Danio rerio: one gene and its partner. The protein of the gene in region 1 interacts with the protein of each later gene in a biochemical or structural test. Links are inferred from orthologs where the notes say so. Each region holds a gene or a part of one and is shown in the gene's direction. Other genes may lie near its edges. The genes, in order: setd1a and wdr82.

Evidence for each region.
Region 2: the proteins of setd1a (region 1) and wdr82 form a complex in vitro, tested with the Homo sapiens proteins (2 studies listed by BioGRID). The link is inferred for Danio rerio from reciprocal best matches to the Homo sapiens genes SETD1A and WDR82.

What each region holds. Positions count from the first base shown.
Region 1 is NC_133178.1:31,526,620-31,531,103, forward strand, and holds the start of setd1a (histone-lysine N-methyltransferase SETD1A), read left to right. Parts: upstream 1-1,601; 5' UTR 1,602-1,897; intron 1,898-2,569; 5' UTR 2,570-2,576; coding exon 2,577-2,714; intron 2,715-2,796; coding exon 2,797-2,895; intron 2,896-2,987; coding exon 2,988-3,258; intron 3,259-4,484. UniProt on the Homo sapiens protein: Histone methyltransferase that catalyzes methyl group transfer from S-adenosyl-L-methionine to the epsilon-amino group of 'Lys-4' of histone H3 (H3K4) via a non-processive mechanism.
Region 2 is NC_133181.1:44,007,622-44,012,068, forward strand, and holds the start of wdr82 (WD repeat-containing protein 82), read left to right. Parts: upstream 1-1,611; 5' UTR 1,612-1,799; coding exon 1,800-1,960; exon of another isoform or gene 1,961-2,137; intron 2,138-2,924; coding exon 2,925-3,022; intron 3,023-3,316; exon of another isoform or gene 3,317-3,399; intron 3,400-3,505; coding exon 3,506-3,572; intron 3,573-3,663; coding exon 3,664-3,763; intron 3,764-3,837; coding exon 3,838-3,954; intron 3,955-4,032; coding exon 4,033-4,188; intron 4,189-4,447. UniProt on the Homo sapiens protein: Regulatory component of the SET1/COMPASS complex implicated in the tethering of this complex to transcriptional start sites of active genes.

The sequences.
Region 1 (4,484 bases):
AAAAGGATTGGCAACATTACAAAGTTGTAAATGCTTTACTGTTAAAACTTTTTTATTGGGTTTCAAGAACCAAAATTAGAAAGTGATTATTTTGCAAAAAAATAAAATAAAAATCACACGGAACACATTTATTTGTATTTTCCATACTGTCCTGATTTAGAGCTGTAGTAATAAACTACAGTATTCCTATTTAAAGCAATGATATTTTCATTGCTTCAAACAAAATGTTTTTACTGAAGTAAATTATTTTAAAACACACTTAATTTTAGGTAGTTGCCAAGGTAACATTCAAAGTTTAGTTTAACTTTAGTTTACAGATGTTCTAAAATAGCTCAATTTAAAACTTGTAGATCAAATGAATGACAACTGTATATAGACAAAAAATTGAAAGACAACTAAATTTCTAAAACTTTAAACTGGAATTAAAATGAAAGCTGAATTGTAAGGCTGCTTATCTTGCTTAACAGTGCATCATATGTGAGAAAAAACAGGCTATGAATTAACATCCAAAATAAAGTACCATTAATCAGTCCTATAATATTGATGGTGATGCAAGCAACAACCGATTTTGTGGTGAAAGATGCATAAGAAACCAATGAGAAACAACATGTTTGAAGGATTCTGACCTCTCCAATATCCAACTTGTACACATGGAGTCTTTCTGGATGATGCTTGACTGGCATGAAACAAAATCTGTTTCCTTCATGTATCCGGAGGAGTCAACAAATACTCAGGTAACACAAAAATATAGAACCTATCTACAATATTAACTACTTTGTCTCGCATAATAATAGTGCGAAATACACTTCAATAACAAGAAATACCAGGAATTAAAATGTTGTTCAGTAAATGTTTTAGATTGTAGCAGCACCACCTACTGTTCAATAAAATGTAATGTGTCAACTAGCGAATAGCTTAAGAATAGAATAAAACGTATAAAAAATAAACAAACATTTACTCAAAATGTACTTTGTCCACGAACATGTGTCCTTTTTATGTAATATTTTATCTCCCTATCTATGCTACTATAGCATATGTGTTTATAAATATGTGAAAATGTGTTTATAAATATGTGCTACATTTTAACGAATTATTAAATATATTTAGCTATTTTGCTTTCAAATTCTCCATTCTAGTGGCTATTATGATATTTTGTGTTTCTGCACATAACTCCGAGTCTGCATATAATTTACTGTCATCTCCTTCTACTAAGTTTGTTGTTACTACTATTTACTAATTAAATATCGCTAATAATTTATTGTGCATGTGTTAAACAACCGCGAGGTATTGCTATTTTAATATAAAAAAATACTCTTTAAGCATACGCATATATCACATTCATAGCGTTATGAGGTAAAATGAAACATAGCAGCAGATTCGCCATAAAGCAATCTCGCTTGCAATGGTCAAATAATTTTGATGTCAAAAGACAGAAGCCAAGGAGAGAATATAACTCAATGTTAACATATATTACAATTTAGCTTTAAAAATATAACAAAGCACAATCTTTTTGAACACTTTAAGAACATTTATAGTAAATGCACAAGGTTCTGCATTCTGTGGAAAGTGCGTGTGCCATTACAACGGCTGATATTTCTAGTGACTGATGGCGAGCAGGCGAGGCACTCAGGTTAGTTACGCGATGGCTGCTTACTGTATTATGTTATTCTTTTTAACACACTTCATTTTCTGGCGGAATATAGTCACTTATTCCGCATCGATATTGCACCGGAATACAAGCGACCCCGTTTTAGTGCAGATTTAAGGCGCCTGTGTCAAAACGGAGCTAGATTTTAAAGTCCGGATTGTCTGTTTTCCCCGTCCGACACAGGCCTAGCTGTAGCGAGCTAGCGGCAGGCGAAGCGGGCAAACCTCCTCCAGACCCGCGCTCCGTTCTGTGAGTCTCTCGCCTCACCGAGTAGGAATATTTGTTTTTAGTATCGGAAATTGGTGTATATTCGTTTGCTAGAAGTTATTGGCACTTGAGCTGTACTCTGCTGTCACATCATTTTGAAGTTGAACTTTAGCTAGCTCCGCGCAGTGTGAGCGGCTAGCAGCTCCAGTGTTTATTATGTTAGCTTGTTGTTGTTGCTAGTCGATATGTCAGATGCCGTATATTAGGCCATACCTTTAGTGTATTTCTGTTTATTACGTTGTAATAGACAACCGCAAGTCGTGCTGTTTAATTTCCACGCACTATGCTGTTAATAGGACATTTTAATGTGAATAAGGCATCTCTGTCAGGCTCAGATGTAGTGGGGTTAGATCACCCTGTCAGTTTGACAAAAAATATTAGTCAGTATCTTACCCCACCCTTCATAAAGAGTCTGTTTGTGTTTTGTAAATGTATATAAGGGGACAGCATTTTATGTGTAATTTGTTTGGTATTCCAAATGGAGTTTTTCAGGATTAAAATGTGTGCTGCTCTTCTGCATGTGCACACTGTCAGTGTGGTTGTCTGCTTGTATTAATGACCCATAAGTTCAAATACAAAGCTTTTCTCATTACGACTTCAATATGAGTCGCCGAGCATCTGCACAACACCTCATTCTCCTCTCTGTGTCTGCAGTGATAGCATGGATCCGGACAGTGGGGCGGACACTCAGCGAACTCTCAGTCTGCAATGGAAAAGCTATAAGCTAGTACAAGACCCTGCCCTCCGGCGGGTTACTCAGAAAATCTACAGATATGATGGGATTCACTTTAGTGTTCCGGTATGGACCTGCACCAAATCAACTCATGATTCAGCCTATAATGCTGTACATTATGTGAAGTCTACATTCTGCTTGATTTTAGGATTCAGGATTTCCGCCTGTGGGGGACTTGCGTGATCCGAGACCCCGCAGAATCTGGTCAAGACACACAGAGCTGTCGCTGCCAGTGCCCAAATTTAAGGTATTCCTTTCTTTGTTTCTTTTGCCATGTCTCTTAGGATCTATGTTTCTGTGGGATTTTTGTGTTAAAATGCTTTTTCTTTTTTCTCACAGTTGGACGAGTATTACGTAGGCCCTATTCCGCTTAAGGAAGTGACGTTCGCAAGACTGAATGATAACATAAAGGAGCCGTTCCTGGCAGAAATGTGCGCCAAGTTTGGTGAGGTTGAGGAAATGGAGATTTTGTTTCATCCTAAGACACGGAAGCACTTGGGCTTGGCCCGCGTCCTCTTCACCAACACTAGAGGGGCCAAAGACACAGTCAAACACCTGCACAACACTTCTGTCATGGGAAACATTGTCCATGTCCAGCTGGATATCAAAGGTGGGCTTGCCTTTTCAGAGGACTTTCTGTGGTTATTAAGGGTGCTTTCACAACTGTAGATTGATTCTTTTGTTCCGAAACAGGGATTAAAACTATTACAGGGTTGCACTTTGTTAATGGTGCGGTTCGCTTTCACATGGCAAAGTTTCTAAACGGACCAAAATAGCTAAAACAAGTAATGCGTGAGTAAACTCTCCTCCCTTGGGTCAGTTTCATGGTTTATTTTGCAGAGTCCCGCTCAGCTGTCATGTGTCATTATTTTAATTTATGGTAGGGAGCAATAAGACATTATAAGTGACAAGCTGCACTTTAATTTTGAGCGGTGACACCCACAGACATCGTCACCAAATATAAATCAGAGGGGTAAGTCAATTTTCCTAACGGATAAATCGCTCTTGGTAATGCTTTCACTTTCGTATTTGATATGAAACGCTCATTTACTGGTAGGAATGACATCCCGTCCTACTCATAATTCTCTCTTCATATAGCTGTATATATACCTATTACATGTTCATAATACGCTTTGATATGGCCTGATACTTTGGTGCGTTGGATCGTTTTGCTTTTCTCACTACAATCTGTACGCTGCAGAGTTTGTTTAAATCGAGCTGAGACCACCTCATTAAGGTGATCTCGGACCAATGGTTTTGTTGTGGATCCGAGCATGATTGCTGGTTTCACATATGCCAAACGAACCGCGCTAACTGGGGAAATATGCCATGTTCCTTAACTAAAGTCTAAGTGTAAAAGCACCCTCAATTTCTTTAGTGCTCCATGAATGCAATTCAAATAGATTGGAGCCAGTGTGTGAGTGTGCTTTTAATATTTTAACACTTATTTTGCTAGGATGCAAAAAATTGGTCAAGCATGACTGTATATGCACAGTGTTGCAACAGATTTCTGTTAATTCAGTTGTTTTGAACTTTCTGTTAATTATACAATTACGATATTTTTTCCGGATACTATAATTATGGAAAGTTCAAAATACTAATTTAATGAACAGAAATCTTTTCTGTCATGCAGAACTGTTTCTTGAGCACCAAGTCAGCATTTTAAAATGATTTCTTAGTGGTCTGCCTTCAAAGTTTGAGCGATCTTAAGATTAAAATGTCTATAATTTTATATCTTGTTATGTTGACCTGATCAGGTTTCAGTTGGTTTTTAACAAAATAGTAGAATATGTCAGAAGCTCTCTGGGCATGAGCATTATCATTGCTTAAAGTATT
Region 2 (4,447 bases), on another chromosome or scaffold:
TCTTGCAATAGCTGTTATAACATCCAGTTATGATTGAATCTCCTCTTTTTACAGATATGAAATAGTTTGACAACAAGCAAGAAGTATTCATGGCCCAGTGACATCACCACACTGAAATGGCCTATAACTCCTACTCTAATATGACTAAATTTGTATGTGCAATATGCTGCTATATATGGAAATAAATGTTTTTTAGTTTTTACATGTTTATTAGACATTTTAGTAGTGTTAAGTGCAAATATTTTAAACAGTGACCAAAAATAAAAATGACATCTCAATAAATGAATGTGCTTGTAATTTCAGGATAGTCACAGATTTATGTGTGTATATTCAGAAAGTCAAAAATAAAAATCTGTGCTAAAGTATAAAACATTTTGTTCAATAAACCAAAGAAAACAGTACCCTTTCTAAAATAATAAGCATCCAAGCAACAGGTTTCACATCTTTGTTTCAATCCATAGTTCACAAGTTTTTTGTTGTGTGTTTTTGAGCTTTAATCATCAACAATCCACCTTTCCCTAGAAACGATGTAACTGACATTGGATCCACATCAGCTGGAAATTGGTACTTCTGTCGAATGACGTCCAAAACTGTGCCATCTGATGCCAACTGATTCATAAGTCAGGGGAAAATTTGAAAAAGACAAACCAAAAGGAGTAAATACAATATATTTTTGTTTAATGTGTTTAAGCTTTAAAATTTTTCAAAATGTTTAGGTTTATTTTGCTTACCTTTTCTGCAAAGACTTGTATTGCATTATTGGTTGAGGTTACTATAACTTCTTCCGGTGCAAACTCGCTTACATTCACTGTTAATACGTAAATATCTCCAACAGTGCAAATTTCACCCTTTGAAAAAAAAAAATCAAGCTTATGGTTAATTTATAATAATCATACAGCATTAACAAATTGTTTGCAGAGGTGTTCAAACTAGACTTTAAACAACACTCACCTTTGAAACACCTGCCATTGTAGATTTGTTAGAAAGCATAGGACAATTAATTAATCCTGTTCTTTTTCTAAACAAAAAGACTTTAATGGTTCATAAACGTTTGATGCTGGTTTTCTCTGTGTTTTTGTTTAGAACAATGCAGTACTTGCTTTTATACCCCTGGTTGTGTTTGGGGTTCTGGGTGAGGCTAGAATTGATGTCTATGTGCAGAATGTGTCATATGAGAAAGAAGAGGTAATTTTGTAGTGTGATATTAATATCCTCTTTGAAATTAACTGTAAAAACACTCAAAAATTGTAAAGGAAACTGAATGTAATAATGATTAACTGCAAATGTGGTTTCATAATTACTAAAAATTAAGGGTAAGCCTTGCTAGAAATGAAAAACAGTATATGGAGAACTCATGTGAAATTCTGCATCCTCGTTACAGCTGTCATTTCAGTACTAAATTACTAGAATAACCTCGTTGTTTTTCGTGTACGTAATGGAAGGTTAATATACAGAGCGTATAATAAATCACCCTAACCAACAAAAACTTCCTTCCAACCTCAACGTCAGCCTAAATCGTAATGGGACTTTTATTCTGAAAACATTCGCAGGGGTGGTGGCCATTTTGTAAGTCACCTTGCTAGTTCTAGCTTCATCTCGTCTTTCGTAATCCAGTTCATTGACCAGTTCTGTCGGCGGGCTTTTTTAATGTGACAGAAATACACATCTGAAAACCATTTTCGGTCAACAAAATTTTCACGACACACTCGCAACGCACAAGACTGTTTAACCAGAACCCAAACTTGTCGCTGTTTTAACGAAACGATCCCGTCGCGCCTGGCCAGGCAAGAAAGGCCACAATGAAGCTCACAGACAGTGTGCTGAGGAGTTTCAGGGTTGCGAAGGTTTTCCGAGAGAACTCCGACAAAATAAACTGCTTTGACTTCAGTTCAAATGGAGAAACTGTAATATCGAGTAGCGACGATGACTCGATTGTCTTGTACGACTGCCAGGAAGGAAAGTAAGTCGCTTGTAGTTTATTCGATGTGGTTGTCCTGCAACTGACTGTTTCGTTTTAATTCAGCGTTTGTTGTGTTTTATGTAAGTTACTGAAATGGGATAAATACCTAGATCTATTGCTATAATGTTAATCGTGACAATTATTGCCTATTTATATCGAGTGTTGTGTTTTGAATGCGTTTGTGTGTACAGTTAGCGGTCTCTTATTTGTAATTCGGATCTTTCAAGTGAATCACTTGAACTGAATCACTGAGCTTCGTTCCGTTTTTTAGCTGTTTCCGTTCTTCATTTAGTATTATGTCTTAAAACTGCTGAAAATTATCTGCAACAAAATTTGAGATTTAAAAAAACTTTTTTGTTTTATTGCTTTGTTGTTATGTAACTTGATACATTTACTTGATATGCGTTTAATTTGCGAGAGAACTTGAACAGATTTTATTTTAAGGTGAAACATGACTTATTTATTTGGATTAAGTGTTTTTGTTTGACTTTTTTGAGTCTATTACCACTTTTTTGTTAATTTTTAAATACCAAATTCTCAAAACAAGACTGTTCGTTTGCTTCGTGAATGTGTATCGATGTGTGAACCTTTAACGTTAGATGTTTGTACTGGAAAGCAAGAAAAAAAATATGCTATAGTAAAACCTTTTGCAGCCATGTTCTTGTTTTGAGTCTAGTTGTTTATTTTAAATCATTATCTTATATTTTCTTTTCTAAAACCCTAACCATTCGTAACGTAGCGACATAAAAAAAATCGCCATATCTTGAACCGATTCTTTCAAATCAGCTCTTTGAAAAAACTGATTCTCTGAAATGAATCTAATGTACAGACGCGTGCTAACTGTTAGCATCCACGCCTCCTAAAATAATCGGCCGCCTCCTGACTGTAAAATCAAATTATGTTATGAATTTTTGCATGTTATTTATCTAATAAACCAGATTAACCTTTTCCCTCTTTAAATCAGACCCAAACGGACGCTTTACAGTAAGAAGTATGGTGTGGATCTCATCAGATACACCCATGCAGCCAACACAGTCGTCTACAGCTCTAACAAGATTGACGGTAGGACTCTTTACCAAACCTTAGTGTGATAACGTGCTGTTTTTCCCCCAGCAAATTCCATTATTTTAAGCTTTAGGGATGAAATGCTTATTCACTGAGCCCTTTTTAACTTGTTTTATTAAATTTCTCAATGTTATGAGTGTTATTTTTCACCTTACATTTTCATAATTATGTTTTCATAATAAGTGTATGCATCCGTTTCTATGTAATCTTGTACACATTAGTTAAATAACAGGTTTTTCCTAAGCTTTACTACTGGTATTTGTGTATGGCTGTTTATCCTTGCCTGTTCTGGGTTGAGGTAGTTGTTTGTACAGTTTTTAGGGTCTGTTATTCTGCCCTGTTAAGGAGCTAACTGTACAGACTACTGCCTTGCCCAGGGTTGAGCCCACTCATCTGACATGGTATACAGTACATGTTTATATTTTTTCTAATAAAATCTTGTTCTAGTTGTTATATTTTGACACATTTGTGCTGTCACAGATACTATACGATACCTGTCTCTACATGACAATAAGTACATTCGCTACTTTCCTGGACACAATAAAAGGTGAGGAATTGTGCCATTAAATTATCATCCTGTTTTTACAATTGAATATTGGTGTTATATGGCTTTTTGTGTGGGTTTTATGCTATTCTAGGGTTGTCGCCCTGTCTATGTCCCCTGTTGATGACACATTCATTTCTGGCTCCCTTGACAAAACCATTCGTCTGTGGGACCTTCGCTCGCCTAACTGTCAAGTAAGCTGTTTTTTAATTTGGGTATGTTTTTCTTGTTAGTGTGTACTTGATTCTAATCATGGTTGTGTTCACAGGGCCTCATGCACCTGCAAGGGAAACCTGTGTGCTCATTTGATCCCGAGGGGTTGATTTTTGCTGCAGGAGTGAATTCTGAGATGGTCAAACTTTATGATTTGCGCTCTTTTGATAAGGTAACTTTATACATTTGCATTCAAAGAACTGTACTGTTATATTGGATGTTTTAAAAGTAAAAAAAATTCTTGTCTCAGGGCCCATTTGCCACATTTAAACTGCAATATGAGCGGACGTGTGAGTGGACGGGTCTCAAGTTCAGCAATGATGGAAAGCTCATTCTGGTCTCCACCAATGGAGGAACACTCAGAGTGCTGGATGCTTTTAAAGGAGCTGTTCTCCACTCGTTTGGGGTAAAAAATACTTTTTTTTTTTTTTTTTTTTTTGTAAAAGCAGTCCTGTTAGTTTTTCATTTATCATTTATTATGGAGGTCTCGTACATTAAGTTTGCATTCACCTCAAGTTCAAAAGGAACATTTTCTTTCAGTGCATACAATGTGTTTTTGCCTTTGCTGCACAAAACACTTTCAGACCTCGGATATAACTACAGTTATTGAGGGTCAAATTAGATGTTTTTTTACAGACCATACCGGCCAATGAAGACCATAAACT